4 linked regions of the Drosophila melanogaster genome follow. Changing the gene in region 3 together with the main gene of any one other region gives a genetic interaction. Each region holds a gene or a part of one and is shown on either strand. Other genes may lie near its edges. The genes, in order: tor, Gp93, rl and Nf1.

Region 1 (8,373 bases), 6.6 Mb from region 3:
CTGATCGTTGATCAACACTGTTTGCCGTCTTATCGATAAATAATTGCTATCAATAGCGATAGCTGCTTATTCAAAGTTTCGATCACTACCCGTCGTTTTAAAAAGCTTGTATGGCAATTTTATTTGCCTGATAAAATTCGTAATTTTTATATTAAATGCTTATAAAGCACTCATTTGATCACATTGTTTAGACAATAACTTCTCGACTAGTGTATAATCAGCTTGTCCTGCTTGGAGTTCGGTATGTACTGATCCTTGTACTTGGCGAACATCTTCTCCAGGTCGTCAATAACCTGTTTGTGTATCTTATCCACATAGGCTGCGTCTGGTTGATCGCTCTGAACCACGTCGATGGGAGCGCCAACTGAAATTTTTTAAAGTTTATTTGAATCTTACAACTATGCGACATTTGAATGAGCTGAGGACTCACCAACTTGGACAATGCGTCGACGGTTGGGCAGAAAGCCAAAGGAGTAGTTGAAGATGCCCCGGCCAACGGGAATCAGCGGAGATATCCCCGTTATCCTCTTTACAAAGTCTTGAAAGCGACGAACCCGAGAGTTCGGTGGATTGGCAACCTGATCCAGAATGTCCACCTCGCCAAAGGAAAACGTGGGAACAATCGAAGACCTAAAATGAAGACCGGATACAATTAAAAATAACTTTTAGTTGTATCCGATTTCAACCTACCCTGTCCTAATGGCCATTTTAACGAATCCCTTGCGGTTCTTCAGTGTCAATATATATTTGCCAGGGTGCGAGTCTAGTGCCTCCTGGGCACCACCCACCAGAATAGCCACCGCGTTGGAGGTGAACCCATCACGATTGTCCTTGTGCTTGGGATCGTTTGATTTGGTTAGCAGATATACTAAGGCCTCCTTGGAAACCGACACCAGGCCCCAAGATCTCAGGAGACCACGCACGATGGGCGTCAGGAAGTTTTGATCCAAAGTGGCCACCTTGGGCCTCACCTGTGGGAACAGTTGCAGCCACTTGGAGATGTCTAGACCCATATTAATGGAAATGCCAGTCCTATCAGGGTTACAATATGTGCGTAAGAAGGTATACAAATGTTTCGTCACCTAAGCAACCATCGATAAGATTGACTATCAGTCAACAAGCTTACCCCAAAATTCCGTGCGGAAAACTGGCCAAAATGTAGTTCTTATTCGGCGGCAGCTCTGCGGTCTTGACCAGCTGTACGGGAAAGTAGTCCCGATAATGCCGAAACAGCCAATTGTTGCGGTTAATTTTCCAGCTAAAATGGATTATTTTAGCTTTAAGTGTTCTTATAGGGACTTCATGACGCCTACCCATTGCCATCCATAATGGAGTGGGTTCTCTTGTGATTCGCGTAGACGTAGACCAAATAGATGACCATAATGGTGCGCCACAAAAGGCTTCCATAGAACTGGAAGGGAATGCTTTACTTTTCAAAATATTGAAGCACTGATGTATTTACCAGCACGGCAGCAACGAAGAAATAGGATCCAAAGGAGAGTATCATAAAGGATAGGATTAGGAAGGCCATGGCAAACGTCTGGCGACGCCGTTCCATGGGAACTCCTTTGGGAGCCCACTCGATTTTCATGATGTCAGAGCTCTCGAACTCGGAAAGTTGAACTACTTGGTAGCACGGTCCTCCGGCGACTGAAAAATGGAAATGTTCAATGTTTAGTTACCATTTCTTATCCTTATCAGTATCCGTCGGTGGCGCGAGTGCGTGGCTATTGGTTAGAGTTGTTAAAAAAATACCTTCGATTTAATGGCTATTCGCTTGGGGTGTTTAAAAATTCGAGCAATCAAGATAATGACTTGCTCTATATGGACGTCTGGCTAGAATGCCGATATGATATTATATGATATGATCTTATCATTGCCAACAACAGCCGGCTTTAACGTTTGTCCGATACTTGTGATCACATATATATAATTATTGTTTTGAAATTTCAATTGCAACTGGTTTGAATGCCTTTAGAAAGAGAACGAAACTGCTGTTGCACGACAACCTCCTCACTTTAATTGAATGGTGATAAAACTAACTGGGAGTTACTCGTATTGCTTTTGATCCGATCCGCTTTGGCCTAGTATCACAGGCTAATTATTTTAAACTTGTAGAGCTTTAATAAACTAGACGCTCCCATAGAAATTTATTATTAATGTTTACACACGTAATGGATCGTTATCGCGTTTGAGCAGCAGAACCGACGATGCGAGCGTACAACATTTAACTAAACTTGCGAGTGGCACTGAATGCTCGAGTTTCCCATGTGAGTGTTTCGAGTACTCGAATGCGATGCAACAATTGAGTCACCAATGTAATCGAGCGTTCTATACGAATAACCTGAATCAGAGGCAACTGAGGTCATGTGCATTTGCAAGTCGCTATAAGGAAATACCTGTATTGTCAGCTCTGTTCCAATTGAAATGGAATCAGGGAAAGTGTGATCACGCAAAAGCTACAATGTGGGCGAAATTAGCATAGTTGTTTTTTGGTTAATTTCGAATATTGGCGCCCAACATGGTTTCTAGGGATGGAAGCGACCAGCACTGCATTCTGATTTATCGGTTTGCTGCAATACAAGCTCTTTTGGCGCAACAGATCATAGAAGATTGAAATACAAACGTTGTTGGTGGTATCACAAATGAAAATTGCGAAGAGTTATCTGAAGTCAATGTTCTATGCTTATCCCAAGCCCTGGCGCTACTATGACGGAGTAGCGATCCAAATTTTTGCATTTCAAATGACCCCTAGTCCAATCCCATCCATACGATCAAGTACAATACGATGCAGTGAAGAGGTGAAAAACAAATCAAAACAAAATAGCGCAAAATATATTCAACGAGTCCGCCGCTTCTCATCATTCCTCCTTCTTCGTCGCTTTTTTACCATCGCATTTTTGGCCTCAGTTTCTCAGTTCTTTCTCAGTTCAGCAAGATAATCCGAGAAGGACGGATGGTATTGATCTCGAAAGTTGGAATCTAGAAACTAAGTATTCGAATTTGCTGTGTGTGTTATTGAGTTTTGTATCAAAGTGCGTGGTGGCAAAAGTGCAATAAACTTTAAGTCGGTTTTAAACAAATACACATTTCATTCCAACACACACACACCGACACACAACGAAGAACTAAAGAAGGGTTTCAAAAGCAGAACAAGGAAAATGCTTATTTTCTACGCGAAGTACGCATTTATCTTCTGGTTTTTCGTGGGAAGCAATCAAGGTGAAATGTTGCTAATGGACAAAATCTCTCACGATAAGACGCTTCTCAACGTCACCGCTTGCACCCAGAATTGTCTGGAAAAGGGCCAGATGGTATGTTTACACCCTTAGAATGTTGGAACACTCCATAACCAAAAGTGCATGCTTCTTTTCTCGACAGGATTTCCGAAGCTGTTTAAAGGACTGCAGGATTAATGGAACATTTCCCGGGGCTCTGCGCAAGGTGCAGGAAAACTACCAGATGAACATGATCTGCCGCACGGAGTCGGAAATCGTTTTCCAAATAGATTGGGTGCAGCACAGCAGGGGAACCGAGCCGGCTCCAAATGCCACCTACATAATCCGGGTGGATGCTGTCAAGGACGACAACAAAGAAACTGCGCTTTACCTGGTCAGATATTAGATGTAAACTCATTACTATTTACTTTAAAATACCATTTTATTTGATGAATTTCTAGAAAAAGATGTACTATGTAGTCATCAAGACCTAATGTTTCGTTTTACAAGTGGATCGCTCTTTTTCATCGACTTATTCGCTTGCAGTCTGATGACAACTTTCTCATCCTGCCGGGATTGGAGTCCAACTCTACCCACAACATCACCGCCCTGGCGATGCACGGAGATGGCAGCTACTCCTTGATAGCAAAGGACCAGACCTTCGCCACCCTCATCCGAGGCTATCAGCCCAGCAAAATGGGAGCGGTGAATCTGCTGCGGTTTGTCCCCCAACCAGACGACCTGCATCACATTGCTGCCGAAATCGAGTGGAAGCCATCGGCGGGTAAGTAGCTCCATCAGTTTAATCAATCAACGATCTACGAACCCTACTTTCATATTCCAGAGAGCAACTGCTATTTCGACATGGTGTCGTATTCAACCAACAGCGTGAATATGGACGAGCCACTGGAGGTGCAGTTCCGGGATGTGAGTATGCCATGACGCCCCTGCAATGCTAGAGCATAGCTAATCTTTTACTGCAGCGCAAAAAGCTGTACAGGCACACGGTGGACAACTTGGAGTTTGACAAACAGTATCACGTTGGCGTAAGAACGGTGAACATAATGAATCGACTGGAGAGCGATCTGCAGTGGCTGCCAATCGCTGTTCCAAGCTGCTTGGATTGGTATCCCTATAACTACACACTCTGCCGTAGGTTCCTCGAAAGTCCTATATAATAATAATATTAATAATAATAATATTGTTCCACCCTTTCATAGCACCCCATAAGCCAGAGAATCTTACTGTGACCCAGAAGCAGTATCTGCCAAATATTTTGGCCCTGAACATCACCTGGGCGCGTCCCAGATACCTGCCGGATAACTATACACTTCACATCTTTGATCTATTCAAAGGAGGTACGGAGCTAAACTATACACTTGACCAAAACAGGAGCCACTTCTATGTACCCAAGATCACGGTACTGGGTTCCCATTTCGAAGTACATTTGGTGGCCCAGTCGGCAGGCGGAAAAAACGTATCCGGTTTGACGTTGGACAAGGTTCATCGAGGTGTGTTGCTGAGCGGTACGTACGCTGAAGGAAATTAAATATTTAGACATCCATTTCCATCCATTGAACAGAGGGCAACATGGTCAAGTTGGTACTCTTTATTATCGTGCCCATATGCTGCATTTTGATGCTGTGCTCCCTGACGTTCTGCAGACGAAATCGTTCGGAGGTTCAGGCGCTGCAAATGGACGCTAAGGACGCGAAGGCCAGTGAATTTCATCTCTCCCTGATGGACAGCAGTGGCCTGCTGGTCACCCTCTCGGCCAACGAGAGTCTGGAAGTAATGGACGAGCTGGAGGTGGAGCCACACTCGGTGCTCCTTCAGGATGTCCTCGGCGAAGGAGCCTTTGGCTTGGTGCGACGTGGAGTTTACAAGAAACGCCAAGTGGCCGTCAAGTTGCTGAAAGGTTGTACCATTTGGTATTGAAGTTCTTGAATAATTCATGGAATTTTTGTTCTCACAGATGAACCAAACGACGAGGACGTATATGCGTTCAAGTGCGAAATTCAGATGCTCAAGGCCGTGGGCAAGCATCCAAATATTGTGGGTATCGTGGGATACTCCACTCGTTTTAGCAACCAGATGATGTTGCTAATTGAATACTGCAGCCTTGGAAGCCTGCAGAACTTTTTACGGTAAGTTATTTTTATACATATTGGAAAACAAGTGATGTATAGTAAAAAATGTATTACTTAGTGAGGAGTGGAAGTTCAGGCAGGAGCAAAATGCAATTGGACTTAAGAAGAACCTTGAACAGAACGTGGACAACCGACGGTTTAACCGACTCCCTAGAAATTCCATCCATGATCGCATAGAGGATATCAACAACTCGATGCTGTCCACTGTGGAAGAGGAGAGTGAATCGGATCAGACACACTCAAGTCGATGTGAGACCTACACCCTCACTCGAATAACCAATGCAGCCGACAACAAGGGCTATGGCCTGGAGGACATTGAAAACATCGGTGGGAGTTACATTCCCAAAACCGCTGAAGCTCCAAAGGATCGGCCAAAACGGAAGCTGAAGCCGCAGCCCAAGAAAGACTCGAAGCAGGATTTCAAATCGGACAACAAGAAGCGAATCTTTGAGAACAAGGAATACTTTGATTGCCTCGACTCATCGGATACCAAGCCCCGAATACCACTGAAATATGCAGATTTGCTAGACATCGCCCAACAGGTGGCGGTGGGAATGGTAGCCTACATCTACTCTATCCCTAAATGTAATTAAAAAGTGTAGCATGTATCATTTGCCATTTTAGGAATTTCTGGCCCAAAACAAAGTAGTGCATAGGGATCTGGCTGCCCGGAATGTTCTAATCTCCGTAGATCGCAGCATCAAGATAGCAGATTTTGGGTGGGTATCTCTGAAAGTTCAATGATTAGTTATATTGTGTTTTTTTTTTTAAGGCTGAGTCGAGATGTGTATCATGAGAACGTGTACCGAAAGTCCGGAGGAAGTGGCAAGCTGCCCATCAAGTGGCTCGCGCTGGAGTCCCTCACCCACCAGGTGTACACCAGTCAGAGCGATGTGTAAGTATATATTTTTGTTAAGTCCGAAGCGATTTTGTGGCTGATATCTTACCCTCTTAGTTGGTCCTTTGGTGTGCTGCTCTATGAGATCACCACTCTCGGTGGAATGCCATATCCGTCGGTGTCTCCCAGTGATCTCTTGCAGCTACTGCGACAAGGTCATCGGATGAAGCGACCGGAGGGATGTACGCAAGAAATGTGGGTATCAGTGCTTAGCGAAGTACATAATTGTTGATCACATTTGCTTAACTCAGGTTTTCCCTGATGGAAAGCTGCTGGAGCTCCGTGCCATCACACAGGCCAACATTTTCCGCCCTTAAACACAGACTTGGTGGCATGATTTTGGCCACTAACGATGTTCCAGAAAGGCTGAAACAACTGCAAGCTGCAACCGAGTCAAAATTAAAGTCATGTGACGGTCTAAACAGGTAAGTAATCTTTAAAAAGACAATTGTATACGTTACTTTCTTACCTTTTACAATTTAGTAAAGTGGAGCAAGTGCCATGCGAGGAAGAGCTATACCTAGAACCTTTGAATTAATAGTCATTGCTTCAAGATTATAATGAACGAGTGCAATACATTCTAAATTCGAGTTCCAATTCAGACAATGCTATGCGCCAGATAACCTTGCATAGCAATAAACATTAAAGCTAGCCTAAGAAAAATTTAATTTCTTTTTTATAAGAAAAACCAAGATATTTATAGAGTAAACTTCTAGCAGTGCCCTTTATGTCTCATAGAAACCGACCATTTCAAAATGTTTGTGCCTCCTTGCGGCTTAGGTTTCGAAAGAAGGTCGTTTATTTGGACCCCAATCAGCATCATTTTTGAAAATTCCAAATTGAAAGTCGGTCCAAGCTGGCTTGTTTACAGTGTTTCAATTCTACTTCTGGCCACCTCGATCGATGTGCATCCACTGCTGTCGCCTCCGCCGGACACCATGTCCACCGATTCCCTACAGCTGTCCACACTGCCCGGTGCGCACCATCTCCAGCTGCTGTCCACTGGGCAGTCGGCCCCTCGCCGAGAATCCTTTCATAAGAGGTCCGGATCGGGAGCCAACCCCCGATCCCTGCGACACCTTGCCACCGCGCTGGCTGGACCTCAATCGACGGGTCATATTTGCCTTGGCAAAAAGATTATGTCGATCTCCAGAGGCAGCTCATTATATTTTGCTTCGCCTGTTGTATGCCAACTATAGAAAAGTGATGATGATATCCAGAAAACGAAGGAGATACAAGGTGCCACTAAGTGGGTTTCCCGATCAGGATTTGTTCTCCGCCAGCGCACATTTCGATAGCAATGGTTACCTCTCCGATCCCATGGCTCCCGAAACTCTGGGAAAGCTACTCCACATGATGCAGGACTACATCCTTCGGCTGAGAGCGCTGAATCGCAAGTACAAGTGGTGTGGCAACGGCGAGGACTTTGGAGATGTATTGCTCCTATTGGGAGAGCAAGACGAACTGGTACGATTGTTAAGAGATCTCTTTGGAGACAGCGATGTTGTGTCCATTCCAAAGCTCCTGAGCGCCCTTAGCGAGCTGGAAATCAATAATTTATACGGAAAGTACAAGAAGAAAACAGTTCCCTTTATGGTGAGAAGTATATCTGATCTCTACTCCGAAGTGACGGAACCAAAGAGTCCAGTTTTGATATCATTAGCGCACATAGCCAACAAAGGAGTTTCCCCTTATGGACCGAGCCACTTGAAAAACATCTTGAATTTCAGTCCAAAGTCCTTGCCTATGATGGGTAAACACCCACCGCCTAAAAGAAGTAAAAGTGAAAAATGCATTCCAACATCAAAAACGAATTTAACCCAAGCAGTACAAAATACCCAAAAAAAATCGAATTTCAAGGAACCAGCAGACAGTACTGGGATTTTAAGTCCAACTTCCAAGAACTTACAATAAGATATCACAGCAAAGCCACTTCAACCAAACCAAAGGAACCTTCTATGAACCCTTTGACGCCCAGAAGAACTCCATCTGGAGTTCCTCCACCACGCAGACTCACATCGATTAATGACGAATGGTCGGATTGCGGGTCTATTACTATAAAAATCTGGATGACCAACTGAGGTGATCTACGCAATCCTATCATGGC
Region 2 (8,209 bases), on a different chromosome or scaffold from region 3:
CTTTGCACCTTTCACATTTTATGTACCGAAGTTGAATGCATTTTAATGTTTTCTCCACTGCATGTTTCCCCTCCAGCACACAATCGAAGCCCAAGCACATTGACGCCGACAACGAGGATGACAAGAGCTCCACCACGGCCAGCCAACCAACCAAGATCAAGAGCGAGCGCAGGTCCATTTCCCAAGGAGGCGAAAAGGATAAGGCTTCTTCCAGCAGCCCCAGTTCCTCGCAGCAGAGCAACCGCATTAAGCGATCGCACAGTCCATCACAGCAGTGAGTTAGGCGAAGGCTAGGATGTGAGAGAACTAAGAGCCTATTGATCTATTCGCAGGAATTCCAGATCCAGCTCCGTTGAGGCCAAGCCTGCACGCCGCTCCGGCCGATCGCCCATACGCCCGAGTCGATTCAAAAACTTCGTAGTTGGGTAAGCCATAGAAATATGGTGCTATAGCGATCAGTTTCATTCATCATTTCCCTGGCTGCCATTTTCAGCGAGACCAGGAGCGGCAAGAGCAGAGGACCCAAGCCCAAAGTGAAACGAGTATCGCCAGTGCCGGCCAAAGATTTCAAGGTGGAACACATGGACGGAGGGCGGTTCAATGCATTGCAGCGGCTGGACAGCATGCTGGACACGCCCAAGCCGCGCGAGGTTAAGATTTTGTAAGTGACTCGACTAGATGCAAATAAAGCGAACACGAATGTGCCTTCAACTTGCGTTCTTTTGATTGGCTCAGACTCTTGGAAAAAATGGGCGAGGACGAGGTGCTGAATACGTTCGAAAACTATCGCAGCGACTTCGATAAGCTGTTCAAGGAGCGCGAGTTCAAGCCGCGCACCAGTCACTACATGAACATTGCCCACATGGACGTCATCGACATACTGAGCAAGAGCATTCACCAGCAGATGCTCAAGAAACTGGGCGAGGTCTACAGCAGTCGAAGCGTAAGTTTGGGGCGTCCTGGAGTGACACACATATCCATCCTAACATGTCCCGATTACCAGAACCACACGTCGCTGCTGGTGAACGGACTGCTCCCGCTGTGGATAGTGCGCCTCTTTATGGACACATACACGCTGTCCCAATCGGAGGCCGTGCAGCAGATCCGCGACCAGATGAAGTACAACACCTACTTGAGGGCCCTGAACGATGAGCCGCTGAGTTCCGATCTTGACTGATCGAGCAATCAATTCACTTTTTAACTATTTTTTGGTATCCGATTGCGGAAATTTTACATTGCGCGCCATATTAAATAGGCAGTTGTTTTAGTTTTAAATTCATTTGTCTTTATTTGTTTTGATTGGAATCTGTTGTGTACTAAGCATATTACATTGTATAAATACATAATTCACTTGCTTTCGAAAAAAGAAAACGCTTGAGCAACCAAGTGTGCTGGCTGAAATGGTGGAGTGCTCTCTGGGCGACTGGCGGTGATGACGGCGTGGGCGAAGGACTACGAAATTATTTTACTTAGAATCTAGCGTGTAATGTTGATGGAGTGCCCGCCCGGCCACCCGGTGGCGGTTTAAAACTCAGTCTGAACTTCACACTCTTATGTACAATCTATTTGGACAGTGGGTGAGGTGAAGTAGTTTACAGCTCGTCGTGCTGCTGCTCCTCCTCCTCATCATCGGCGTTGCCGCTCTCCTGGCTGCCGGTGGCGGTCTCCTCGGCATCATCCTCCTCCTCCTCGTCGAACTCCACCTGCTCGTCTTGGGAGACACCCAAGGTCTGGCGCATCATCTGCTCAATACTGTCGGCGAACTGCGAAGTCTCCTGGAGCATGTATCCAGACCGCAGGGTGGCGGTGCGGAACATCATCACAGCCATGTCCTTGGCGGTGTCATCGGCCTCGTCGGCCTCCACGCGGCGCAGCAGCTCGCGCATCAGCGGATGCCTGGGATTGATCTCGAGCGTTTTCTTCTGGTTGAGGTAGTAGGTGCGCTGAGGATCGTCGGACTTCTGGTGGGCGTTGGACATGGCCAGACGCTCCATGTTGCCGGTCCAGCCGAAGACGCCGGCCACGAGGGCGCATGGCGAGTTGCTCAGACGCTCGGAAACCTGGGCCTTGGAGATCTGATCCTTGAGTGCCACATCGTTCAGCCACTTGACCAGCGGCTCGAAGGTGCTCTTTAGCGACTCGAAGTTCTTCTTGCTCTTCTCGGACTCGTTCAGCTGGAATCCCTCCTTGGCCACGTTCTGGAACTTCTTGCCATCGAACTCGGGCAGCGCGGAGATGCAGTACTCGTCGACGGCCTCCACCAGATACAGCACCTCGTATCCCTTGCTCAGCAGACGCTCGACGAACGGCGACTTCTCGACCTCAGCGCGGTTGGCACCAGCGATGTAGTAGATGTGCTCCTGCTTGGCCTTCATGCGCTCCTTGTACTCCGCCAGCGAGGTGACGCCCTTGCCGTTGGAGGTCTGGAAGCGGAGCAGCTTGGCGAGACGCGATCGGTTGCTGGGATCCTCCATCACGCCCAATTTGATGCTGAAATGAGTCAATTAAGTCTTGATAAGCAACGAAAATCCAAGAATTCGAGGTTATAGCTAATGGAAATGCTTATTTAACTAAAATAAAATATTTAAGTATAAACTCTACACGTCACCAGTGCCAATATTATAATACTACGTGGATTTCCTTATCTTATCAGCGCGGAATTCTTTAAAGCAACAAACTAAATATATTAATTTGTTGGCAAAAAATAATACACGTCATTCTATTCTCCATATTATAATGGATTCTGCGGAAATGCTTATCATAAATAACTAATTATTTGAACAGGCAAAGAACGTTTCTTAATTCCTAGAAAGCGACACTTACTTGGTGGAGAACTCCTTCCAGAACTTCTCATACGCCTCCTTGTCGATCTTCTTCAGCATATCGAGAACCTTGCGGACCAGCTTCTTCTTGATCACCTTGATGAGCTTGTGCTGCTGCAGAGTTTCGCGGGAAACGTTCAGGGGCAGATCGTCGGAGTCGACGACGCCACGAATGAAGCTCAGGTAGTTGGGCATCATGTCGTTGAACTCGTCGGTGATGAAAACACGGCGCACGTACAGCTTAATGTTGTCGGACTTGGTGCCGTAGCGGTTGAAGGACTCCGATGGCTGCACCTTGGGCACGTAGAGCAAACTCTTGAAGGTCACCTCGCCCTCGGCGATGAAGTGCGTCTGGGTCAGGGGCTCGCTGGAGTCCTTGGTCAGGCTCTTGTAGAAGCTAGTGTACTCATCCTCGGTCACTTCGGCGGGCTTGCGCGTCCAGATGGGCTTGCTGTCGTTGATCAGGGTCCAGTCCCAGGTGGTCTTCGAAACCTTTTTGGTCTTGGGCTTCTCATCTTCGGCCTCCTCGACCTTGGCGTCCTCATCCTCCACGTCATCCTCGCTCTTCTCGGGCTTGGCCTCCTCCTCCACGGGCACCTCCTCCTCGACGGTCTTGCTGGACCACATGCGGATGGGGAAGTTGATGAACTGCGAGTACTTGCGGATGAGCTCGCGCACGGTGTCCTCCTCCAGGAAGTCCTGGGCTTCTTCCTTCAGATACAGCGAGATCACGGATCCTCGCTTCAGAGTATCGCCACGGGGATCCTCGGTGATGCTGAAGCTGTTGGCATCCGACTCCCAGATGTACTGTTTGTCGTCGTTGTGCTTGGTGGTCACCACTACACGATCGGCGACCAAGAAAGCGGAGTAAAAGCCCACACCGAACTGTCCAATCATGTCGTTCATATCGAGTCCCTCCGACTTGCTGGGATCCTGCATCTTGGCCAGAAAATCGGCAGTGCCGGACTTGGCAATTGTACCCAGGTTATTGATCAGATCCTGGTGAGTCATGCCGATACCCGAGTCCATGATGTGCAACGCCTTGTTCTCCTTGTCGGCCTTAATGCGGATGTGCAGCTCCGGATTCGTTTCCAGCTCCTTGCTGTTGGACAGAGCCAATAGGCGGATCTTGTCGATGGCATCGGAGGCGTTGGATATCAATTCACGCAGGAAGATCTCCTTGTTGCGGTAAAGCGAGTTGATAATCAGCTTCATCATGCGGTTGACCTCCGTTTGGAAAGTAAACTTCTTCGCCTGCACGCACAGACAAAAGACAAAGAAAAAAGGGAAAGGAAATCCCGGTCATACGTGTACCTTCCAAATGACCTGGCAATGAACCCACCTTCTCGCGAATTTCCTTCAGCTGCGCCACGTTCAGGCCGTCCAGCTGGATGGCCTCCTCCTCGCGCTTCAGGGTCTCGGCATCTGGGGGATTGGGAATTAGAAAAAGGGGGCGGTTATCGCAACGCTGACGTGTACCAAACAAAACTCGTCGTCGCGAGAGGGGGGCGTGTCTACGTACCGGTGCGGGAGCCCTCCTTGAAGGAGCCCAGATCAAGGTCGATGGTCTCCGTTGTGGCGGCCTCGTCATCGGCGGCTATTTGATTGATGCCTAATCAGACGCGAATCAGACGCCAATTAATAATTAGGTTAAAACACCGGTTCAATGCGGCGTGGCAAATGTGCACACTTACCTGCTAGGAGCAGCAGGCCCACCAGCAAAAAGTACTTCATGATCTTTGGTAGCTTGATTTACGGAGCTCGAGCTATCGGTTCGTCCGGCGAAAGGCCACGTCACGAATAACAGATGCAATAAATTAGTCCGCACTTGCGTCGCCTGCTTTGATTTTTTTTTACTGACGCCGACAAGCGGCTGGAAGGCCTTTAAATGCCTCGCAGAGTGACCGTATTCCGGCGCTGGAACATTCTAAGCGCATTGGAAGGAAATACCAGGGGCTGCACTGGAAATAGGATATATATACAGCACAGAGCACGAAAATAGTGTAATTTAAATAAATTTAATGTTTGCTTATTTGAAAGCCCATACATTCATAGAATCTATTTGGGATTTAGTTTACAAGAGGATGTAGTGTCAAAACTCTACTGTTAAATATATTTAATTTGATAATTTACATTCTTATATCAATAGTTTACAAAAGGGAACACTTAGGCCGGTAGATATATGATTTATATTTGAAACAAATTAGTATCTTTTCATGTATACAACAACTAAGCTTTAAAATAATAAATTCTTCGGTCGGTTGCACAACAACTTCGTGTATATACAATTTTTAAGCTGCCAAAATAGATAACTGAGAACTTATTGATATAGCAAAGTAATGATAAAAATATGAATTGAAATAAAATATAAATTCCTGACAGAGATCAAGGAAATCCATTTCGTTTTAGAATATATAACATATGATTTTGTACCGTTCGGTTTATTTTACAATGTTAAGTTAAATATTTTAATGTTGGTATTTTTATTTGCCATGGCGTTAAGGTTCCGCACCCACATGTGGGTGGACTTGTGCTGGTATTTTCACCCGAGCCATTTTGGTATTTTGCGACGTTCCCGCTGCGGTCACTCTGGGCACGAGGCTTGTTTATTGGGCGAAATTTAATGATTCGCTGTAATCATACAACATTTGCGTCAGTTGCCAAACACCGACCCAGCCAAAATTCCGCTTCGGCCACAAACCGACTCTTATATATTCATAAAACAACCGATCCGCAGCCGCCACTCCAGCAGCAGCAGCTTAGCCGCGAGCAACTAAACCAGAAATTGCTTCCTCGCGTGAATCGTTGAATCGGGGAATCGTCTCTATGTCGTCTGTATGCTAGTCGTGCAACAGCAGTGTCAATTAGCAGTTTCGCATAAGACCACCTCACGCGTACACTCTGCACCACCACCGCCACCGCCGCCGCCTCCGCCAGCAGCACCACCCCCCGAAATACACCCGCCCGTGCGTCCGTGAATCGTCGTGTTATCCGTGTTATACAACAAAATTGCACCAAAAGTGCCCGACATACGCCGGCCAAGAGTTGCCCGCTAACCAACGCCGATCCTCGACAGGCGGAGCGACCCGATCCCAGCGGAGAAAGCGGCTCTGCAGCAGCAACTGCAACAGCGACTTGGCAGAACTGGTCCGGATTAGCAGGTTGTCGTAAGAGGAGCAGCGACTGCAAGGGCGCAACCACAGCATTAGCACACAACACAGTCGATAGTGCAGCCCCACCAGCAGCCTCAACAATCGAAAGCGACGGCAACCGTTCGGATCCACCATGAACATCGACGACTACGAATCGCTGCCCACCACCAGTGTGGGTGTCAATATGACGGCGGGCGCAATTGCGGGCGTGCTGGAGCATGTGGTCATGTATCCGCTGGACTCCGTCAAGGTGAGAGAGACTGCATGGCCGCCTGGTAATCGGAGGAGCAGCGGCATGAACATAACACGACCTAACCTCACTATCAATCGGAATTTTGTGTGTGCCGCCGCTGCTTTGGCATAATCGTGATGTAATTGCCCACGTCTCGAGTGCAACCAAGAGTTGCGTTTCTCATTAAGAGCTCTGGGTGGTATAGCCACATATAGCCGCTCTGAACGCTTATCGTAGCACGTTCCATTGGTTTATGCTTCCGCGATAAGATTAGCCATAGTAATTGGACTAGCTCTTATCGGCGGAGCGTTCTCATCGTTCTTCTGAAAATTCGGTAGGGCCAACCAAGTGCACAAGTCCGCCACTTAAGCGTATGCAAATGCCCACCTCGTAATGACGTTCGCCGCAAGTATATACACATATGTATATGGTTATATGTAAATATGTACATATGTACACCACGCATTCAATACCTATTATTGACCGATTCTTGTTTCGTTGTATTTCACTCAGCTGGCTGGTGGCTCGAGCACTTATTGATTTTCGTGGCCACATGTGTCAATCGCGCAAGTGACAGCCGGCAGGCAGTTGGTTGCCAGTCTAAAGCCTGGTCGGTATTCCCGGCGTCATCGTTATAATCTAGATTCTGGACACAGTCCGTTTGACGAGCTAAAATTCGTGAAGTTTTAAAAGCCAGAGAGCGGAAAACCAAATTGGACACCAATTGAGGCCGCTTGCTTGCAATAATTACCTATCACCGGGTTCTCTTATCACGGCACACACACAATACACCATCGGGATGAATGAATCATGTTGGCTCCGCGATCTCTTCGAACGCAGCTCTATCGGGCTTTTATGCAATGGAAACTTCTATCAGTTCGTCGCAGAGAACCCTTTAATTAGATTTCCCCCACTCGAGGGGCTACTTTTCACCTTGGATGGCATTGTTGACTTGTTATTGATAGCAGCAGCCAGCCGGCAGATAGATAAATGCAGTTGGGCCGTGTTCCAGTGAATCTTATCTGCATCGCAAAGCCAAGGCCTTCGTAATTTACAATATGGATGCTGCTCTCTGCTCCCAGATATAATTCCGACTTGTGTGCTCGACAGGCACGCCTTTAAATAAGTACAATTAAGTATGAACAGATATATATATATATACATACATATATATATATATGTATGTGCATATGCAATCATTAAATACGTAGGCAAATGCAAATCTCTAGGCTCCGAGTGACTGGCTCGTAAATCAGCGAAAGTTTTGCCGGGAAGCATGCAATTATATATTTGTATATTCCACTGATATCAATTATTAGTCCCTGCTGTTGTTTACAGATTATATAGCCCTTATCTCGACAATTATGGGACGAACAAAATTCGAAAAACTTTCTTTTGATGAGATCTATGCATATTCTGAACAATTATTTCCCTTTTCGGCTGCCACATTGCACAATTAGATTCTCGCCGACAGCCAGATTGAAATAGTTTCGGAAATCATCACCCCATCAGTTCTGAATCACAAATCATGATGAGAGCACGTTCTAAGGTCTTGGCAATGTCAGTAAGCGAAATGAATATTGGATATCCCCCACAATTGTATTGGGCTCTGTATTGCATATCATGAGTAACCATGACTTGCAGAAGAAAAGCAACGAGCAACGAGTCTATACGGCTAACTACCCTCGACTTAATCTACCTTTTTTTTATGTATTATCATAGCCAAAGTTAGTAGCCCTGACGCACCACTTTAACCAGTTTAATCTAGGACAAACAATGAGTAAATAAAATAACAAGTACTGCCATTGTGAAATGCACAATGTAAATATATATGCAATTATTTTAAACGTTCCATTATTGCCCACTTATAGACGCGAATGCAGAGCCTTTCACCGCCCACAAAAAACATGAACATAGTGTCAACCCTTCGGACTATGATCACGCGTGAAGGCCTGTTAAGGTGAGTGCTATCCGCCATATCGAGTAATCACTGTAACCGCCGA
Region 3 (7,164 bases):
AACTATGATTTTTTTTAAATTACTGCGGCTGTATGGATGTTACCGAGCGCAAAGAAGCTGGGGTCGGAAAAATCGAATTTTTGAAATTTGAAAGCTGGAATCGTTTGCCCATGTTTGCCCACCAATTAGTTTTTTTTGCCCACGTCCAGTTTTTGGGATATGAATTTTCGAAAAAGTTCGAAAATTTTCGAAAATCAAAAATTTCGCTTTTTTCAAATTTTTTTTTTTAAATCGCAATAACATCGTTTGCCCACCCTTTAGAATTTTGAAAAAATTTATACTTTAGAAAATATAAGGCTTTTAAGTTTACCTCTGTCTAATCAGAGAGTAAATCGTTTGCCCATCTCTTAAAACCAAATATTATCAACAAAAAACGTTTGCCCAACCATTATTATTAGTTTTTATCGTTTGCCCACCCTTTAAAAAACCTTTAACAAAAAATTTTTTTTCGATTGCCCAATTTCGATTGGCAAACGAAAAAAACAAATTTTAAAGGGTGGGCAAACGAAATAATTTATTTTTAAAGGGTGGGCAAACGTTAAAAATGAATTTTAAAGGATGGGCAAACGAAATTATTTAGTTTTAAAAGGTGGGCAATCGAAATTATTTAGTTTTAAGAGTGGGCAAACGAAAAAAACAAATTTTAAAGGGTGGGCAAACGAAATAATTTATTTTTAAAGGGTGGGCAAACGTTAAAAATGAATTTCAAAGGATGGGCAAACGAAATTATTTAGTTTTAAAAGGTGGGCAATCGAAATTATTTATTTTTAAATGGTGGGCAAACGTTTTTTATTGGAAATTTTTATTTTAAAGAGGTGGGCTAACGAAATTGGGTGTATTTTAAATGTGGGCAATCGAAAAAAATTTTTGTTAAAGGTTTTTTAAAGGGTGGGCAAACGATAAAAACTAATAATAATGGTTGGGCAAACGTTTTTTGTTGATAATATTTGGTTTTAAGAGATGGGCAAACGATTTACTCTCTGATTAGACCGAGGTAAACTTAAAAGCCTTATATTTTCTAAAGTATACATTTTTTCAAAATTCTAAAGGGTGGGCAAACGTGGTCAAACGATGTTATTGCGATTTAAAAAAAAAATTTGAAAAAAACGAAATTTTTGATTTTCGAACATTTTCGAACTTTTTCGAAAATTTATATCTCAAAAACTGGACGTGGGCAAAAAAACTAATTGGTGGGCAAACATGGGCAAAAATGGGCAAACGATTCCAGCTTTCAAATTTTAAAAATTCGATTTTTCCGACCCCAGCTTCTTTGAGCTATGTTACCGTCCAATTTTTATCGAAGCAAAAATAAAGTTAAATATTATCAAAATGCTGTAGCTTACCGAATTAGAACACTATTTGAATAAAAACATCTATAATATAATAACTTTATGTTCTGCTATATGATTTAGTAGTTTGATTTTTAGCATATATGAACTAATAAGCATTGGAACAAATTTTCAACAGGCGAAAGCCTTGGATTGCTATAAGAAAGTGGACAAGAAAAAAAAAGAAGCAGCGGGTTCATTAGAAATACATTATGATTTGAAACGCTTAATGAATATAGTAAATGAATGTATAGTAAACCATGTTATTAATAACGCCACAAGAGAGCGTGAAAAAAGAGAGCATGGAGATCAATACAATTAATGTGTCCAGTCGGTGTTGAGATCAACACAGGGAACCACCACAAACTTTTGTAAACTCATTTAAGTTTAATATTACACTCACATATTTCGCGAAATATTATTTTAAAATAAACATTTATAATAATACAACGTCGTCGCAGAAATGAATTTCGTTAAACAGGACCCTGGGACAATTTTTAGGGCTTAGTAGGAATTATTTACAAAATCACTCATAATTTAAGTGGCATGCAAAGAGTAATAACTTTTGTGCTATGTAGTTAAAGAAATTACAAATAACTCTGGTGTGGAAAACAAAGATAAGAAAGAAAAGAAAGGCAAAAAAAATTGCAAAGAAAACAATTGGTGTGATATTAATCCTGATAAAGAATATATATACTTTATGTGGTCGGAAACGCTTTCTTCTGCCTGTCACATACATTTCAACGAATCTAGTAAAATACGCATGTAAAATAATTAGGAATGATATCGCTATGGAAGACCTAATAACTAAGGCAGACTCCATAGATGTTCTCCAACAGTCCCAAGATGGATTAGGTCCAAGAAATGTTCGTCATTAAGGATTTATGCACATTCTGTTAAAATAAATTAGAACAAATAATAGGATATGGTGGTGAATTCCGATTTTTTATAGCAGAACAGCGACAAATAAGGAATATATTTAAGTATTCCTTTGTACAGCCAAATAGCTATAAACTTAAAAGAAGAACTTTTTTGGACCGATTCAATGCGATCCGATTGAGGTACGTATACTCAAGAATCGAACGGACTAGCGAAATGAATAAGGTTTTGGTGCTGTAATGATCATTTAATTCCTTTGACCTCCTTTTTATTAAACCAAGCACACCCCTGCCTTATTGACAATAGTCGAAATATGATCTGAAAAACTTTAGTTTAAGGTCCAGAAGAACACTAAAATCAGCAACCAATGTTATATCAAAGACACTAGAATAACAAGATGCGTAACGGCCATACATTGGTTTGCAACTATGCAGCCACACATATGGCTCGATATCCAATTAAATAATAAGCTATAGCGTAACAAGCAACGCCAGCAAAATTAAATTTAGCCGCCGGGCTTCGAATTCCTGTCCGCCCTAAATTTCCTCACCAATACCAATACCAATCAACATCTCATAATATCTATCCACAATAAGAAACCCTCTCACCAACCACTTCCCAATTATTTAACTTATATGGATGCCCACTCACATCGGCATATCCGCCAACGAATACGCCGACAAAACAGCTAAAGATGCCCACAGATACGCCCTTGTACACTCCTCAAATTACAACTGTGACGACTTTTCTCAATTTTCCCTGGTATGAGCTCATCCTTCAAGCTACAACACTACATAACACAATAAGAAAACACAAATCCTAATAAAAAGGCTCAGGCTTGGACACACCAACCTTACCAATGCCCACTACATGAACTGACCCCTCCCCAAAATATGCTCTCTTCAGTCAATCAACCCCATTTGCTACCCACCTCAAAACTCCAACCTAATCAAAAAACATAAAACTATAATTTAAAATTAAAAGAAACTAAAAAAAAAAACAAAATGTCCGCTTTTTAAATATTTTATAAGAATATAACAAAATAATTCAACTAAATATTTTTTATTTTTAAATACTGAAAAATGAAATGTTGCCATGCCCACTCTCCGCCCAAAACTGCAACTGCAACTTTTAAAAAATGTGTTGATTTTTTATTTTTGAAAATGTAGGTTCCAAATTTACTTTTAATGAATGAATGAATAATCCCTAATTATGTCCAAAAGCATTAGAAAAAGGTATAAAGGCACCGAGTAAAAGAGTACTTTAACAAGCAAATCCAAGTTTAGCGAGAAATTGTATTGCGTTGAACAACCGATCGACCGGTAAACGAAAGTTTTGTGCGCAGCGTTTAAAAGCAAGCAATATGACTCAGAAGCTATTGACTTTCCTTTATTTATAAAGTCCATCGGCCAATTTAGGCTTTTGCATGAAAACAAACTCGGTTGTGTCGACCCTTAAAGATTGATTTTGTCAAAGAAAAAGCAAAACTAAGCCACGTTTAGAGAAAAAGAAAGAAATCAAAAATTTGAGAAACTATTTCGTTGTTAAGTGTTTCACAGCTTAGTACTGCGTATGATTGATGTGAATAAATTTAATGCATTTTCGAAAAATAACATTGATTCAGCAATACCATGTATGCGAACTTACAGCAAAGGACTTGAACAAAATGTATTACTTGATATAAAATCAAGAGAACACGGTTCTGAGTATTACTGCATTTCGGAAGGAGAACCGCAAGATAAAAAAAAAACTATGAATAATGGACAAAGGAACAACAAGAAAGAGGTGTGCAAACACTGTAGATTAAAAACGGCTTCAAAAATAAAAATAGGTATTAGGTACTTACACAACCATGCCATAAGCTCCTTCACCTATATAGGCGAGTTTAATATACCTAGGACCAACTTCAAATATTTGTCCCCTTATAACTTCAGCATTAGATTGAGGAACTTCCGTAGATCCTGTACCATTAACTACTGATCCGCTCGAATTAAATTCCTCCATGACTAACGTTTCTTCTGGAAAACTTGAAATACTACTAAAGATGTTATGATACAAAATACACCGTATCTGCAAAATTCGCAATGTATGTATGCGTGGATTGTAATAACACTTTTACAACTGAATATGTCCCACTTTATCTTATTTAAGTGAACAGCAATAAGTGCAAAATCTTTATTTACTTTATTATGAATTTAACCAAAAGTCTATAACTTAAGATATGAATATATAAACTCAACTTTTTTTTACTCTTTAGACAAATGCGTAAATATGATTTATCAAAATCGACGGCGTAAAACATTAATAATATGTTAAGATAACGACACTGGTCAATGTTTATCCGATCCAATTATAATCGGATCCCAAAAGGTACATCAGTCTTTTGGCAGCCACAATTTCCACAATTAATATTAAATAATATAATAATTTAAAAATGATCAGTCATTGCGTAAGACATTTTTTTATTTAAAAATTGGTATTAAAGGAGGAAATTGATCATCACATATTAACCTGATGTTGGGTTAAATATATTTTTGGACATTTTTCAATGGGAGCGCAGAAATAAAAACCTTTTGACTTAGTGTTATATTCCTAATTTAAGCTATTATTGCCCATTAAAATAAAACAAGAAAGCAGGCATGTGCCATCTTCTGCTGTGTGACCTAACAGATGTAAATTCAGCGTAAACGGAACTAAAAGTACTGTTCCCACCATTAAGACGTGACTACAAACCAATGTAGAATATACATATTAACACGAAAGCAGAAATTAAATGTTTAATTAAGAGAAAACAAATCCTTTAATTGCTTTTTTATTATATTATAATAAAATTTCTTAACAGCTCACTACTCAGAAGCATATACAAATGTACAGCTAACTAAATGTAGTTTGCCCACTACAGAAAATTCAGCAGTGTTGCAACGGAGGATGATTGATGATCGAACATTCTTTTTAAACAAAATACTATCAGATGTCAAAAACTTTATATTTTTACATTAAAAAATCCGAATGTACTTAAATATATTTGTTACTCTTAAGGTGATATCCGAAGTAAATGCTACGTACGCCAAGTATATAAGTTTACAGAAATCGTGAAAAATATGTCTATGACAGCTATTTATTTTATGAATTAATGAAATACCATGGTTTTAGGTATAAGTGTAGGTTTAATTTTTTTAATTAATGTAGGTTTATTTTATAACATGACCTTTTCCTTATTAACAATTTATTTCATTCTTAGAATACATTTCAGTTTAACTCGCATGACGGAGCGGGTACAAGTGTAGCACCGCAAAGAGCGACTGCAAAGCTAGCACATTGTTTAAAATGCCCAACTCAGTTGATGTCTAGTTTTAGTATATAGTTTAGTTTAGTTTGTGTATGGAGTTTTGGGATTTTGTTTAACAGCCGTCAGACTGCAAAACTTGTGTTTGGTCGGCGCTGCCGCAGTCCAGACGTCAGTCGTTGCCGTTGTTGGCGCAATAAGTTGCGCAGGAACCAGTGATTTTGATATAATTCATTTGTATTATCTATTAAAGAAGAAGTGGGTCCAACGTGAATGGACTTAGAGAGCACAGAAAGAACTTATTAAGACTCATAAATAAATTCAAATATATCTTTACTTTAAAAATTTCAACTTTAATTTCCTTTATCATTTTTCTTTTGTTCAATTTTAATTGTCAGGGAAAACAATGCTTAAGAACTTTGGTTTACCCTTGGACACAATTATTTTCAAAAATGAAGACATTCTTAAATTAAGTAATGGTGAGGTAAAATTATATGGAGGAACACAGTAAGCGTCCAACTTCGGTTGATCATCTGTCCCTGTCGAATTTCTTAACTTAACTTTGTAAATTACAGTTTGTGTTTGTTAGTTTCAAACGCTTTGGAATATAGAGATGCAAACTTTTAAGAAAACTCTAACCCCGGTTCACTAATTTCGTTCTGGAAAAGTGTTTTATGGACAGATGTAAGTTCTTTCGAGAATAACTCGTTAAAAAAAGCTGCAGCTTCACTTAAACTTATTTATTTAGGTATTAAAGGCTTGTCAAAATACTTATGCCAATACAAAAAATAATCATATTACATTAACTTGTCTATATCGTTTGTTAATTTTTATGTTTATATTACTTACACCCAACAAATAAAAAATAATCATTATTATCATATTAAGTCATTTTAAAATTTTACTGCCAACAGTGTGTGTAGTGCCGACTAGTGTGTTCTGTGACTGAGCAGAAATGTTTGGTGGCGATAGCAGCTATGCGAAATTTCAGAGATTTTAACTGATCATGTCTCGCCGATGTTGCTCACGATTTGCTCGATGGTCGTTGACATTTCAAAAATATCGTTTTAAAATTGGACATCGTAAGGGTACTTTAAACGCTGTTCCGGATTCTTTATCGCGTTAAACGAAGATGAAAAAGCAGCTGTAAGTCTGGAAGGTTTTTTTCGCTTACTTGAACTCTGAAAAATGTATGTGCCTGGATTACTAGGATTTATTAGCAAACGTTAATGCGAATAAAAACCAATAATGATAAGTATGCATTAAAACTATGTATACTCACTGAATTAGTATCAAAAGTGATATCCCAAGCGCACAATAGTCAGTTAGCTTCTTATATATATATTAGTATTAGTATACTAGGCTCGTTAAAAAGTATGTATCGGGCAGAAGGAAGCGTTTCCGACCATATAAGGGAACTATTAAAGCTAGAAGGTTCAGATTCGAGAGACATAGAGTTATACTTATGCCAATAGACGCAGCGCAAGTTTGTTGACCCATGTTGCCACGACCGCTCAAACGCCGCACAAAGCTGCCATGCCTACACTTTTGAAAAAAGTCCACTGCCATCAGCCGATTTATCAAAATAATTCCAAATAGTCGATTGCCCAATTTTAATTCGCTTATGTGTGACCATACCTTCGACATCGCTATCTTCTTCTTGCCAGGCAA
Region 4 (7,133 bases), on a different chromosome or scaffold from region 3:
TTTTTCTATAATCTTACCTATGGCGGGATTGATGAACCGCAAGAAGATGACTGTGCCTACAGCACCGATATTGTTTTGAAGAAGATTCGGGAAGCGTTTGCTTAGCACTTGGTACAGGCAATGGCACATGGATCGCAGCTGCGGGGGAAAGCGATCCGACGAGTTGATAATAGCGTCAAACACCTTCTGCGTTAGGGCAATCAAGTTGTTCCTGTGCTGTTCAATATCTTCTGTTGGATCCAGACGAGCTGGATCCACCTCAAAACAGGTCTCCTCCTCCTCATCCAGAAGCGGACGAATTAAAGGCTCTAGTAGCATTTGGAGATAGCTCGCGCCGTATATTTTAAAGCAAAAGGCCATGATTTTGCTGCCCAAAGAATTTCCACGGAAAAGTGTCTGCATGCAGTCTGAGACCTCCACCTCGCGATAAAACATATTCCATAGGAGTGGCGATAACAGGTGTTTGGCGTCGAATAGGGTGACCAGAACCCTAGCCAGCTCGTCCATTTGGGATGTAGTCACCACATTAGCCAAAGCCATTGCTATGGGAAGTTCTCCTTTGTCGCTGATCATTGTAACAAGTTGGACCAGTTGCTCAAATCGATCAGCTAAAACAGTTTCGGCCAAGGTATCGAATTCGGTGCCTTGTTGCAGGATTTGAGTCAACACCTCCATGAAAGCGGCACGCGTTTGCAAATCAGGATTATAACCCAGATCGATGGAGTGCATCAAACCAGAGTCAATGTTGGCACCCAACAAATTAGACATGGCTAGAATAGTGGCATTTCGCAGAGCGGTCAGTTTTCCAGCTGCCATTCGAGGGCGCGGAGGCAATAGTGGGGTATTATTCATTTCCTTCTCCGCCTCGGAGCTATCGATGCAATCATTCAGCAGGTTCATAAATAGGGTAAAGTACTTTAAAAAGAGCGCACTCTTTGCATCCATCAAATCGCCTCGATCCGATTCCTCAGGCTGAAGGGGAAGGCCCCGAAGCAAGGCAGCCACTGCCTCCATGCAGGCTTGGTCTAGATCGCGAAATATGAGGGATGTGTTGGTAAGAATAGCGGCATCCGCCGAGCTGGGCGGTGCAATCTGATGGGAGGTGCCCATCACCCAGTCGGTCAAGTATTCAACCAGTTTATTCCGGAACTTCATCTCCTGGCGAAAGGCGAGGTCGTCGCGTCGCTTCATCATTACTTCCACAAGCTGGCACAATTTTGTCTTGATTCGAATGGCATAAACAGTCATATCCAGGTGGCGAACGTAGCGCACTATTCCTAGCATCATGCCTTCGATGCTTGTAACACCTAAATGTTCCGATGGCGAGGGTTGATCGTTGTTGGGATCCTTGTTGGCTTTGGGATCCAGAATTGATTTCATTATGTAGATGGTGTGCTCGATAAACTGCGTGTTGATGTCGGTCACATTGACGTTCACCTGACCTTGCTGATCGAAGAACTTCTCCACGATGGCTCTAACCTGGTCGAAGAGTATAGGATACAGTTGGGTGGACATCTCCTCGCCCACCAGTTCCTTCACATTTTTCTGAATATTAAGTCCAATTTTTTCGTTGCTGCAAACTAACAGGCGCAATAGTTGGCCCACGAATCTAAATTAAAGTTATAGGTTATATATGGGACATGTTAAAATAAATAAAACCTTACTGTGTTACAGGACAATAGCTGACATCTTGTGGCGGTGCTGGGGGAAGAGTGGATAGTGAAACCGTGCTAGGATGCAGAGAGCCATGTCCAGAACTTGTGGAGCTTGAGTAAAGAGAGTTTTGAGCAAGTGATCCCAAAGAAGCATTGTTCTGTGATTGCTGCAGCAGCATTTGACGACTGCTGCTACGTTTATGAAGGCAGACGCCACCCAAGGCTAATAGAAACCATGTCATATTGGCCCATTCATTAATTTGTTCCTCCAAATCGTGCTCTGAGCTTTGGTGACTCGCTCGCCGCTTGCCCATGCCACGATGGAAAACCTCCGCTTGGCCATCTTCTCCTTTACATTTGGGGTACGTTTGCAAAACCTTGCTGGATACTTCCCAGTTGCGGAAGGTTTCCTCCCAGGCGGGCTGAACACCATGAACACAGTGCTCGATCTTGCGCAATAGGGTCATTATGCGCTTTTGAAGTGTAAGACGGCTCAGCACATTGCCGTGCGTGTTGTCAAAAAAGCAAATGCGAGAGTCCGTTGCAGCTAAAACGAAATTATTATTAATAAAAATATGTATGATGAATTTACCAAACTCACATGTGGACAACTGAGCCAGCTCCTGGTAAATGTGGTAATTCGGCATAATAAATCCGACTGTCAATTCATCAGAACTGCAGCAAATCTCAGCCTCCTCGCATAGTAGTCCAAAACACGATAGCGATGTCAGCACCGCATCTAAATCAACACTCCACAGGTACATGAAGAAAACAACTTCCATCTTAATGTGAGCCTGCTTGCAAATGGCAATCTGACTTCCCACATGTGCATAATCCTTGTGTCGCTGAAGAAAAGTATTCCGACAGATGAGGATCTCGCGTAGCCACTTTAAGACATCAGTGTAATTGGCAATTTGGTGTTGAATGAGCTTTTGCGAGATTGAAAACAGTACTTGGGAGCTAACGTCCCAGAACGTATTGATCGGAGCCTCTGGATTCCAAACCTCTATTTTCTCCGGGGCGTGCAGAGCAAGCAGCGCCTCCATAGCCTCTTGTGCCACATCGGGCATGGTAGTTTGATGCACCAAACTAACTAAGCCGTTGATGAGCTCCAATGTGGAGCTCTGCACTTCATGTGCCACTTTTCCTTGGGTCTATATTACAAAACAATTGTTAAATATGAGACTATTATCGATCAAATTATCAAATAACTCACATTCAACAAAAGCGTGGGATCTGCATGAATTAGCCGTACGAGTAGCAGTAATAGCATTTTGTGGGCGGGACCCTCTTCAGCGCGGGTTAAACCTTTCTGGGTATCTTTAGATTTGAGCGTCAGGGAGGTTATGTAGCGCAGTGGCGTATGGGCTATATAACCCTGGGTGGCCTTGTTGAGCGTATCCGTAAACAAAGCTCGTAGCTCAGCAGAACGGTAGTGAACCACATCCGTTTGCGGCCACCAAGACAATCTCGGTTGGTTTACTATTCGAAAGGGGTTCTTGTTCTGCAAACGGAAGTCAACGTATATGTGAGCCAACCTATAATGGAAAGTATACATGTAAAAGTCAAGAGTTTTATATAGCTACCCAAGTAAATTACCTTAGCAGAGAGCACACAATTACAAAATGGTAAGCCTGCGGCGAGGACAAATTCAGGCAAACCTTTAGAGCCTCGATGTTGTGAGGATTAATCCGGAAACAAGACACCCAGCAGTCAATCATCAGCTCGATATCAGCGAAGTTGTACCCCTGACCGCGCGAAAAGGGCTTTGCTGGATTAAAGAGCAGTGCCTTGAGATCGTTGATAAAGAATTGCACCAACTTGAAGACCACATTATTGGAGTCGGTGTTGTTGATGTAGGTGGATGCTTTGCACAGCTTTACACAGGCAATTGCCGCAGATTCGGTCACCTGTTTGGATGGTGAGTGCTGGCCCAAGCCTCTCTTGATACTCTCGATGAACTGCTTGGCCGAGAAGTCCTTGTCCCGGGACGTGGATTGCGCTGACTTCGAGGCAACCTTTTCCTTGTCCTTTTCCTTCTCTTTCTCCGACTGCTGAAGTTCGTTAACAACAGCCTCAAGGCAAGAGGGATTCAATATCAGCAAGAGCATTTGAAGCGGCCAAACAAGAGTCTTGCTTTTCTTGTTTTCGGTTTTAAAGTACTCTACAAAGTCCATCAGGGGTTCCCAGCAGCTAAACGAAACAGGATCAATTAATGTGACTTTAAAAACGCTTGTAATTCCTCTTACGTTGATATATCTCGATTGGTTCCTCGTTGCAAGTCCTGGAACTCTTGTGGATGGTACTCGATCCAGTTCCAAATAGCCTTCTCCAGCGAGTAAAGCAAGATCAAAGGTGGAGCACGCTTCGATCGAAACTTTGTGATGGTTTCTGGAAACGTAAAACGTTGTTTAACCTTTCCGAAATATTAAAAAAGTTAGTTTACCTTGTAGCAGCTTGGTTAGCTTTATCATATCCATATCGATGTGTTGAATTAATTCTATGTCGTTGTAGTCCGGGTTTTCCTCGGAACAGGATGTCAGCTCTTGAATCCTGGCCGATATGCGATTGAACACCGCCGAGAAGTGATTCTGGGACAAGGCAAAGAGCACCTTGGATGCCAGGGCCTTGAGCTGGGCGGCATTCGGATTGCTGTCGCTCTGGACGTCGACAAACTGGGAGATCTCGCGCAGCAGAAGCTTCACATTCATGGCCTCTTCAAAACGTGCTGTGTCCTTGGTCTGGTTGGTCAGACAGCGTTCCAGAGTGGTCAGTATGATGACCAGCGACTCAAAGTAGCAACGCTCTGGCTCATGGCGATTTTGAAGGGCCTGCAATGAAATTTTTGTTTAAGTAATTTAATCGTATCCTAGCCCCATAAAATAAGGCAACATAGTTTAAGGGTTAACAATAGAGAATGGAGTACTTACCGCCTCATTGACCCTCTGCAGCATCTTGGTGAGACCGGATATGACAAGGGAGAAGCGGTAGCGCGATATGTGGATCAGACAGGCCACCAATTGGTCCTGGCTCATCCTGGCCTGCGTGCCATAGGCACCGATTCTGTTTGGCAGCTGAAAAAGTAAACCATTGATTGCTCAATTCCACTTCATTCATGCGGGAACCGGTGTTTTTGTTATTGTTGCTATCTCGCTCTCCCACGCATTTGATTGAGAGCTCACACTGACAGAGCGGGTGAGGCACGCACACTCGCAAGGTCGCTGTGAGCATGTGTGGGGGAGGAAGAGGCAGAGCAGCAGGTACATTTTTTCGCTTGCGAAAACGCAACTGCGGAAAAGCGATTGGAAAACACTTGCCTGATCCTCGAAACGTGCCAAAAGGGCGCTAGCCCACTCGCCTGGCTTCTGGGTCATCTTGTTGTGGTGTTTTAACAGTTGTTTATGCGTTTTTTACTGCATTTCAGCAACTAAATAGGGCAGCTTTTCGTTGAGCTTGGGGAGTGGCAATTGGTTGAGTGGCATCTTTGTTCGTTATCCTTGGTGTTTTTTTCAGTTCCTGAGACGTTCACTTCCTTCTCTTCCAACAATTTGGATGGTTTGGCTTTACAAAACGGGCACTGTTTCTTTTTTTATGGGAATTTTCTAAGGGCTTACAGGCTGTTATTTGGATGTTTATATTGTGTGTGTACCGCCTTCCATTTCTTTCACAATACCGAAACGCTTTTATAAGTGATAACAATTACATCCTATCGATATATCGCTTATTTTCAAATAGTGATGGCATCAGACCAACTAGTACTGAATTCATTAGGGTGACCATAAGCCACAAGTAAATGCGCGCGCTCACAGGAGCGTTTAAAAATTCCAAAAATATTTGGCCTTCATTTCGTTCTATCTCATTTGATGCTATTATTTTATATGGTCTAAGTGTTCCAATTAGAAATATAAATGATTTTTAAAACAGATTCAGTTCAGTAAGTATTATTAGTTTATTTAATGTTGTTGTTAATGCATTACAAATTATCAATATTAAATATTTCAGATGGTTTTGTAGCTTGGGTTTTGAGTTAATTCCGTTTGAGTGTGCCTGTTTGGCTCTGTGCAAATTATACATATTTTCCAGCAATACTTAATGTTTATAATGTTTCAGCATTTCGAGCAGTAATAGGTTCAAATCGAGTTCTATCTGTTGTAATTTAGTGTTGCGTCCAACGTTAGTTAATATTTATTCAATTGTTCTATTATTTTACGGTATAAAGTTAGTTTAGCTAGCTAAAAAACACATGTACAGTCGCATATAGGTATATATATGTATATATTTGGTTTTATTGAAAATGTTTGCGTTATTTTTCAAATAACCCTTCTTAAGCTGACAAAAATTTGAGTTTAGGCATAGGCTTATGTTACAATCGTCTTATTGGCCGTTTTTGGGAAGTGAGTTGGGTACTTTATCCAATCAATTAAAGTAAATAAAAAAGTGCTTTAAAAAGGTGAAAAATTTATATATGTGGAAAATTGTGAGCTTGCGGAAAGAGTTTCTTAAACTGTTTTGTGTATATATTTTTGATTTTACTTTGCATTCGATATATGTACGGTTTTCTCATAGATTTAAATGCAGTTATTGATATTTTTAGAGGGTTCTATTAACTTTGCAGTTTTAAGGAGTGTATACATGCACGTACATAGTTGCTATATTACTTTGTTCTAGCTGCTTAACTGGTATCTTGATTTTCTCTTGTATAAGTGGTATATGTTGGCTGCAATGGACGTTTGATGATTATTCGCTTCGAAATTATAGCATAAAGTGCTTGAAACTTAGTCTGCAGATAGCGCAAGATACAAACAGATGATCGTTGTAAATAGAATATGCTCGTATAACTAGTAAGATTTGTATTTAGCTTGCGTTGTTTCGTTATCGCATTCGATTCGATTGGTTTCGTTCTTACAGCTAAGTTTTCCTTTGAAATTGGATTTCAATGCAGTGCAATCCTGCGTTCGCGTCCTTGAGCAGGCCTGCTAACAATAAATTAGTGCTGGATAGCAGGACGGGCCTTCCCCGCCCCGCACCGCCAGCCGACTAGAGTAATAGACTAAATTTAACAATTCCTTTGGGGGCATCAGATCAGAGACTACAGCTAGGAAATGGGCATTTGTTTTAGATCAGGGATTCAAACGGGTAAACGGGTACGCCTTGAAAAAATCAAAAAAGCTGCTTGGATTTTGAATGTCCTAAAAAGATATTCAAGTGTTTTTGTAGAGCAACTTAAAATGTATTAGATGCGTATAAAAAAATGTAATTCAAAGTAATTTAACGTATATCCTTTAAATATTTGGTATACATGCTTCGGTCCCAGTAATAGCAAATAAACTTAAGTTTCGTTTCGAATCCCCGTTTGAGAGTTGGGTGCTTAGATGGTCCACACCTGAACCTTCTCGGCCACCACACACCAGCTGGCCCGCTCGTAGTAGGAGCTAACGATGTGCAGGCTGGCCACATGGTGGTTGATCAGTGCGTCCA

What was found.
Region 1: of rl (region 3) and tor, changing one suppresses a phenotype caused by changing the other (phenotypic suppression), as found in Drosophila melanogaster (2 studies listed by BioGRID).
Region 2: of rl (region 3) and Gp93, changing one enhances a phenotype caused by changing the other (phenotypic enhancement), as found in Drosophila melanogaster (one study listed by BioGRID).
Region 4: of rl (region 3) and Nf1, changing one suppresses a phenotype caused by changing the other (phenotypic suppression), as found in Drosophila melanogaster (one study listed by BioGRID).

The regions. Positions count from the first base shown.
Region 1 is NT_033778.4:7,703,734-7,712,106, reverse strand, and holds tor (torso), read left to right. Parts: upstream 1-2,922; 5' UTR 2,923-3,161; coding exon 3,162-3,314; intron 3,315-3,381; coding exon 3,382-3,612; intron 3,613-3,764; coding exon 3,765-4,002; intron 4,003-4,062; coding exon 4,063-4,145; intron 4,146-4,201; coding exon 4,202-4,370; intron 4,371-4,438; coding exon 4,439-4,744; intron 4,745-4,800; coding exon 4,801-5,136; intron 5,137-5,193; coding exon 5,194-5,365; intron 5,366-5,426; coding exon 5,427-5,925; intron 5,926-5,992; coding exon 5,993-6,087; intron 6,088-6,140; coding exon 6,141-6,263; intron 6,264-6,323; coding exon 6,324-6,461; intron 6,462-6,517; coding exon 6,518-6,691; intron 6,692-6,749; coding exon 6,750-6,804; 3' UTR 6,805-6,924; downstream 6,925-8,373. Other genes in the region: CG1941 (uncharacterized protein), read right to left, coding at 207-364, 431-630, 691-1,032, 1,127-1,258, 1,314-1,411, 1,463-1,591; CG34216 (uncharacterized protein), read left to right, coding at 7,170-8,180. UniProt on the Drosophila melanogaster protein: Probable receptor tyrosine kinase which is required for determination of anterior and posterior terminal structures in the embryo.
Region 2 is NT_033777.3:27,945,209-27,953,417, reverse strand, and holds Gp93 (glycoprotein 93), read right to left. Parts: upstream 4,708-8,209; 5' UTR 4,557-4,707; coding exon 4,517-4,556; intron 4,435-4,516; coding exon 4,345-4,434; intron 4,248-4,344; coding exon 4,165-4,247; intron 4,077-4,164; coding exon 2,824-4,076; intron 2,491-2,823; coding exon 1,593-2,490; 3' UTR 1,267-1,592; downstream 1-1,266. Other genes in the region: CG4951 (uncharacterized protein), read left to right, coding at 77-274, 333-425, 494-661, 736-943, 1,004-1,177; mfrn (mitoferrin), read left to right, coding at 6,108-6,224, 8,078-8,166.
Region 3 is NT_033778.4:1,069,329-1,076,492, reverse strand, and holds the start of rl (rolled), read right to left. Parts: upstream 4,519-7,164; 5' UTR 4,448-4,518; exon of another isoform or gene 4,243-4,447; 5' UTR 4,212-4,242; coding exon 4,054-4,211; intron 2,222-4,053; exon of another isoform or gene 2,152-2,221; coding exon of another isoform or gene 2,129-2,151; intron 1-2,128. UniProt on the Drosophila melanogaster protein: Serine/threonine kinase which acts as an essential component of the MAP kinase signal transduction pathway to regulate proliferation, differentiation and effect cell fate decisions in various tissues.
Region 4 is NT_033777.3:25,981,188-25,988,320, reverse strand, and holds the start of Nf1 (neurofibromin 1), read right to left. Parts: upstream 5,309-7,133; 5' UTR 5,030-5,308; coding exon 4,973-5,029; intron 4,730-4,972; coding exon 4,586-4,729; intron 4,487-4,585; coding exon 4,102-4,486; intron 4,047-4,101; coding exon 3,905-4,046; intron 3,849-3,904; coding exon 3,255-3,848; intron 3,194-3,254; coding exon 2,872-3,193; intron 2,810-2,871; coding exon 2,257-2,809; intron 2,203-2,256; coding exon 1,665-2,202; intron 1,610-1,664; coding exon 18-1,609; intron 1-17. Other genes in the region: fid (fire dancer), read right to left, coding at 7,024-7,133.